2 linked regions of the Macaca mulatta genome follow. The protein of the gene in region 1 interacts with the protein of each later gene in a biochemical or structural test. Links are inferred from orthologs where the notes say so. Each region holds a gene or a part of one and is shown in the gene's direction. Other genes may lie near its edges.

The links.
Region 2: the proteins of LRRK1 (region 1) and BAG3 form a complex in vitro, tested with the Homo sapiens proteins (2 studies listed by BioGRID and IntAct, with this or other methods). The link is inferred for Macaca mulatta from reciprocal best matches to the Homo sapiens genes LRRK1 and BAG3.

Annotation. Positions count from the first base shown.
Region 1 is NC_133412.1:91,426,296-91,429,810, forward strand, and holds part of LRRK1 (leucine-rich repeat serine/threonine-protein kinase 1), read left to right. Parts: intron 1-511; coding exon 512-706; intron 707-1,645; coding exon 1,646-1,797; intron 1,798-3,515.
Region 2 is NC_133414.1:131,769,933-131,773,447, forward strand, and holds part of BAG3 (BAG family molecular chaperone regulator 3), read left to right. Parts: intron 1-1,009; coding exon 1,010-1,411; intron 1,412-3,515. UniProt on the Homo sapiens protein: Co-chaperone and adapter protein that connects different classes of molecular chaperones including heat shock proteins 70 (HSP70s), e.g. HSPA1A/HSP70 or HSPA8/HSC70, and small heat shock proteins (sHSPs), e.g. HSPB8.

The DNA of each region.
Region 1 (3,515 bases):
TTGGAGTCCTTAATCAGTGACTAACAGCAAGTTCTCAGTATGTTTTATTGGACGGAAGGAAGGATGGATGGATGGATGGATGGATGGATGGATGGATGGATGGATGGATGGGACAATGGGCAAATGGACGATATGGTGGGAAGTCAGATGGATGGGTGGATGGAAAAGAGGAAGGATAGGAAGATAGATGGATAAATGTGCAGGACAGGTGGTCAGATGGATGGACAGATGAGAAGAATGGATAAATGTACAGGAAGACAAGCAAATGGATGGATGGATGGATGGAAAGAAGAAAGGGTAAGAAAATGGAGAGATAAATGGATAGAAGAGAAAGTGGTCAGATGGGTGGATGGATGGGTAGTTGGGAGGATGGATGGATAAATGGACAGAGGGACATGGTCAGGTGGTTGGTTGAATGTTTGTTTTCCTTGTCTAATTGTCAACCTCAGGGCCAACTAGTGAAGGCCACTGGGCCCAGGCAGGGACCTGACTTGGCTTATTCTGTGCCCAGGTAGATATGTTCTCCTATGGAATGGTGCTCTACGAGTTGCTGTCAGGACAGCGACCTGCACTGGGCCACCACCAGCTCCAGATTGCCAAGAAACTGTCCAAGGGCATCCGCCCAGTTCTGGGGCAGCCGGAGGAAGTGCAGTTCCATCGATTGCAGGCACTCATGATGGAGTGCTGGGACACTAAGCCAGAGAAGGTACTTGGGAGCACAAAGCCCAGGGCCCTGGGACCTCCTGCCATGTGGCAGAAGCTGTGGGTCCCCAGAGTATGTGTGTGTGGCTGCCCACCCGTCACAATTGGCGACCCTTCTCTGCTCATTTCTTCTAGAGGGTGATATTTGCTGCTTCTAACATATCTACTTTCATTTTCTTTGTGTGTGCATGTCACTCTTAGGAAACAAACTTCCTTTTCCTCCCCAACTTTTGTGTTACTTCACCATGCAAACAAAGTATATCAGCCCCTTTATAACAATACAGTCCCTGTGCAAGAACAGAGAGAATGTGGGTATCTCTTTCTAAAGTAACGGGGAAAAGGTTTGGTTGTGAGAATCAGAGATCATATTATAGTGTTAAGGCTAGTTTTTTGTTGGTGGTGTTTTTGTGTTTTTGGAAGAGGCTAGTAGTTTCAAGGTTAAAACTCATTTATTAAATCAAACGAGCTAGTTTAATGTATTGAGAGTAAACAGGATATTCTTTAGAAGAATGCATGTCTTTATCTGGGCATGGTGACATGGACTTATAGTCCCAGCCACTGGGGAGGCTGAGGCAGGAGGATCACTTGAGCCCAGGAGTTCAAGGCTGTGGTGCACTATGATTGCACCTGTGAGTAGGTTCTGCACTCCAGCTTGGGCAATATAGTGAGATGAAGAGTGTATGTCCTTGGCCTGGGTTGGAATACCTGGGGTTCAGCTAACCTGACCAGATGAGTTTAAATTGCCATAGCCAAGGGTGACCCAGATATCTGGATGGGTTTGCTCCTGACATCTGAAGCTGTTTTAGCCTCTTGTTTGGATCCAATCTGAACGAACAGAATCCCTCATTTCTCCCTGGTTGAAGCTGGCTGACCTCATGGGCAGAATTGGCACCAATCTGGTTGTAAGTGACCTTGCTCCCTTCTGGTGGCTCCTCTCCCTCAGCGACCGCTGGCCCTGTCGGTTGTGAGCCAGATGAAGGACCCGACCTTTGCCATCTTCATGTATGAGCTGCACTGTGGAAAGCAGACAGCTTTCTTCTCGTCCCAGGGCCAGGAGTACACCGTGGTGTTTTGGGACGGAAAAGAGGAGTCCAGGTAAGCTCCTATGGCCTGCCCTGCCCTCTTTGAATTTGGGGTGGGAGGCCACTGTGGAATTTGGGAACAGAGTCCATGTTGACCACAATGAGAATTATTTAGCAGACAGTAGGGTCCAGAACCTGGTTAGACTGCACTCAAGAAAGAGCAGGGAGAGCAGAAGAAAGTCCACACAAACAGACGTGCATGTATGGTTTTGTGGTTAAGAGACAACAGAAATGAGTAGTATCTGCCAGGGTGTCTGGGGACATGAGGGCACTGTGGCATGTGCCTACAGTCCTAGCCACTCAAGAGGCTGAGGCAGGAGAATCCCCTGAGCCCAGGAGTTCAAGTTTAGCCTGAATGACATAGCAAGACCCCATCTTTTAAAAAATTAGAAAATTTAAAAACATTTTTTAAAAGGAAATGAGACCTGTCAGCCTGGTTATGTGACTTTCTCAAGAATGTTCTGCTGCCCCAGATTGCAGAAGGGGCAACAGGGTGGGTTTAAACAAAGTTGGGGTTTTGCCAGGAGGGAGAGAGGGGCAGGGGCGGGGTGTTTTCAAGGGAGTGATACAGAGATGGACCAAGGCACCTACGTGAGGCCATAAATTCAGGGAGCACAACGGAAAGTACCAAAGGATCCTAGGTATTGCTAGAGTTAAAAAAAAATTTTTTTTAAACCTCAAGAGTTATGGTATTAGGTGGGGTGAGCTGAAAAAGTAGGAGGTGGCCGTCAGAAAAGACATGCTTGCCATGGGGTGGGTGGGAGGCACCCAGTCAGTAGTAAAGACAGCATCTGGAGTATGACCTTTGCAGAGGGTGCCTGGGGTAGAGTGGGGGAATATCACTGAGCTTGAGACATAATAAGATAAATGGAACAGACTTTGCAGTTTCTCTTAGGTCAGTCTTCGTGAGTTTGCATCAGATTTTATGCCATTAGGACTGAGTGTTGTGACACAGATGCACTCTAAGAAATGATGGTGTAAAAAAGTTTTTCTGACCAGGCCTTGTGGCTCATGCCTGTAACCCCAGCACTTTAGGAGGCCGAGGCAGGTGGATCATTTGAGTTCAGGAGTTTGAGACTGGTCTAGGAAACATGGTGAAACCTTGTCTCTACAAAAATAAATAAATAAATAAAAACATAACAAAACTTAGCTGGGAATGGTGGCGAGCACTTGTAGTCCCAGCTACTCAGGAGGCTGAAGCAGAAGGATTGCTTGAACCCAGGAGTCTGACAAGCAGAAGGATTGCTTGAACCCAGTGGGTGGTGACTGTGCCACTGCACTCCAGCCTGGGTGACAGAGTGAGACCCTGCCTCAGAAAAAAGAGAAGTTATTCTAAAACACAGCAATGGAGCATGCCTTCCTGATGGGATGTACTCTAAGGACAAAACAAAAAGCAAACATATTAATTAAACAGGTTTCAGTAATTATATTGTTGGTAGTACTGTTGTGATTGTTATTCTAAGATGCTGCTTGTGGTTGTGGAGTAAGTTAATGAGTAATTATATTGCTGTTGCTGGAAACCGTGATTTTCAGCATGGGCTAAAAGAGAAAGAGTTGTAAAGTAGGGTAAGTAAAAGCTTGCAGTTCTGAATTGATTGGATGGACTCGTGATATAGTTGAAAAAAAAATAAACACAAATTTCTCAGCTCTGCTCACTGAAAAGGCCTAAAAACAAGGACCAACCAAATGCCAGTGTGCATCCCTAGGACCTAGACTGTGCTCTCTAAGTAC
Region 2 (3,515 bases), on another chromosome or scaffold:
AGAAAGGGTAATGAGGACAACACATCCCCTGTATGAGCGCTTCCTGTGTGCTGGCCTGGGGCTGAGGCACATGCCCAGGTGACTGACGTCATCTTCAGAGCAGCCCGGTGAGGGAGGGGGTGCTCTTCCTATATTTTGTTTTTTTGTTTGTTTGTTTTTGTTTTGAGACGGAGTCTCGCTCTGTTGCCCAGGCTGGAGTGCAGTGGCACGATCTCGACTCACTGCAAATTCCATCTCCCAGGTTCAGCCATTCTCCTGCCTCAGCCTCCCAAGTAGCTGGGACGACAGACGTGCACTACCACCCCCGGCTAATTTTTTGTATTTTTAGTAGAGATGAGATTTCACTGTGTTAGGCAGGATGGTCTTTATCTCCTGACCTTGTGATCCTCCCACCTCGGCCTCCCAAAGTGCTGGGATTACAGGCGTGAGCCACTGCGCCCAGCCCACTCTTCCTATATTTTGAATGAAGCTTAGAAAATGATTGAATTACTAGGAATTTGAACCTAGGCCCCTTGACTCCAAAGCCTTCAGTCTTTGTTTTGTGTGTGTGGTTTTTTTTTTTTTGAAATGGAGTCTCTCTGTCGCCCAGACTGGAGTGCAGTGGTGCGATCTCAGCTCACTGCAACCTCTGCCTCCTGGGTTCAAGCAATTCTCCTGCCTCAGCCTCCTGAGTAGCTGGGACTACAGGTGCCCACCACCACGCCCGGCTAATTTTTGTATTTTTAGTAGAGATGGGGTTTCACCATGTTGACCAGGCTGGTCTTGAACTCCTGATCTCGGTTGTCTGCTCACCTAGGCCTCCCAAAGTGCTGGGATTACAGGCGCGAGCCATCGCGCCCAGCCCCAAAGCTCCCAGTCTTAACCCCACACTTTGAAAATTGAAAATTACAGATAGGAGGTCTTACGATATGGATTGCCCTGAGGAGGTGCACAGCAGAAGGCATGGTCAGGATGCCACGGCAGGGGGTTCATTCGTGGGGTCATGCCCTCTACCCTGTGTCTCTTGCAGCGGTCCCAGTCTCCAGCTGCCTCCGACTGCTCATCCTCATCCTCTTCGGCTAGCCTGCCTTCCTCCGGCAGGAGCAGCCTGGGCAGTCACCAGCTCCCACGGGGGTACATCTCCATTCCGGTGATACACGAGCAGAACGTTACCCGGCCAGCAGCCCAGCCCTCCTTCCACCAAGCCCAGAAGACGCACTACCCAGCGCAGCAGGGGGAGTACCAGACCCACCAGCCTGTATACCACAAGATCCAAGGGGATGACTGGGAGCCCCGGCCCCTGCGGGCAGCTTCCCCATTCAGGTCACCTGTCCAGAGTGCATCGAGCCGGGAGGGCTCACCAGCCAGGAGCAGCACGCCACTCCACTCCCCCTCGCCCATCCGTGTGCACACCGTGGTCGACAGGCCTCAGGTACGGGAAGTTAGTCGTCAGCAGACTGGTTATGGTGGTATGTCTCCAGGGCTACAGGAGCTCTGTGGGGTGCCCTGGGTTCCCCCTTTATCCCTGCCTATTTAACATGTGTGTACCTGGAGGGAAGTGAGATTTGAGAAACTGCTAGGTATTAACAGAAATTCAGGACAATTGCTCAGGCCCTCCGCACTCTGCAGCTTATGCTGGGCTGATCATTGTGCATTGCGGCTGACTTAGGGCAGAAGAAACAGCTTGGAAGAACTTACATAGCTGGGACCAGGTTCCTTAGTGCCCACCACACCCTTTCAGGGCTCTTCACACCCCCATCCACACTGCAGCCACAGCCTCATCTTGGGCGTAGGCAGCGCGTCACCTTCCGCTCAGTTACCCACTCCACTCTGCAGGCCCATTCTGCTCATTCCCACCCCTGTGCCTTTGCCCATGCTGAACCCGCTCCCTGAAATGCCTGCACAGTACAGGTTCTCTCCGTCCTCCGAGGGATGAGCCAGTTTTGTCTCCTCCATGAAGCCTACTCATCCTTCTCATCTCATGACTCCTCATATGAGTCCCTTAATGAGAGACTCCCAACTTGTATGAGTTCAACATGTGATTATTCTGGGTATTTCAGAAGTGTTCATTTTATCTCTTTAGCTTAGGGCTGAGCCTGACCACAGGGCCCATGTCTTAACGCCCCTCCTCCCTGTGTAATCAGGTACCATGTGGTCTGGCTGAGGCATCCGCCAGCTATGGTGGATTGGAAGCCGTGCTGGCCTGGGGAAGGTTGTAGGCAGGGGTCTGGTTATCTTCCAGTGGAGACACGAGGTGCAGGTTCCTGGAAGAGGATGTCATTTAGTGTGAGCAGCTTGCAGCCTAGCAGCAGAACAGTCAGCAGCCCTGGGCCCCCTGTGGCTGCAACTCCAGCAGCTGAATGCTACAGTTTTTAAAGAGGAAAACTCCTTGTGAACAAACATGGGTTATTCTTTTATTACAAATGGTCACACTGGCCAGGGCGCTGGAATAGAGCACCCTCCTCTTAAAAATTTTTTTTATTTGGAAATAATTTCAACCTGATAGAAGAGTTGTGTGAATCATACAGAGTCCCACATACACTTCATCCAGTTCACTGTTTGTCAACATGTCTGCATTCGTCTTGTCATTTCTTCTCTCTCTCGTATTAGTGATGTGTTTTAACTGTTTGAAAATTATTTGTAGATGTAATGTCCCTTTTCCCCTGAATAGCAAATATTTTCCTAAGAGGAAGACATTCTCATTCATAACCGTGGCAGACTTACAAGATTCAGGAAATTTAACATTCTTACAACATTATTATCCAGTGCACAGCCCATTTTCTAATCTTTTTTATAGCAGTTTGTCCCCACTTCCAGGATGTCTTCCAGGATTGAAACAAGGATCATGAGCACTGCATTTAGACGCAACTTCTCTTTAGTCTTCCCTCAGTCTGGGACAGTTCCTCGGCCTTTCTTGACTTTCACAGCCTTGATGTTTTTGAAAAGCACAGGCCGTGGAACACCCTCTCTAAAGTGTTTCTAAAGTCACTTCTTACACAGCCGTCTTGTTGTCAGAACCTGGGAGGGGTGCGTGGTTGGGTTGTGAGTGGTAAGGGCCAAAGCTGAGGATGTCTGGATTGGCGAAAGAGATTTGATGGAAAAGGAGGTTGCTGGGGTGTAGACAGCTACGTCTCACACCAGATCCATACTCGGATTCAGCAATCCTAGGAGGGGCCCATTTGTAGAGAGAGGGATATTTTATCCAAATCATTCCCATGTATTTCTCATAATCAGTGAAACACTATCTCATCCTGTTTTTACCCCCATTAACCATGTTTGTGGTAACTTCCCTTTTAGAGCTGATGCAAAGTTCCCTTTCGGGAGGCTTTCCAGGATTTCACCTCACTGAACATTATAGTGGAATTGAGTGTTGTAAACTGGGAATAGTTTAGAAATAATATAGTCTAGTTATTTCCCAGTTGATGAAATTAGGGTGAGATTTTAAAAAAGGTTTTAGATATTCACTTACATGAATAAGAGCCAAGATAAGGCCAAGCGCAGTGGCTCACACCTGTAATCCTAGCACTTTGGGAGGC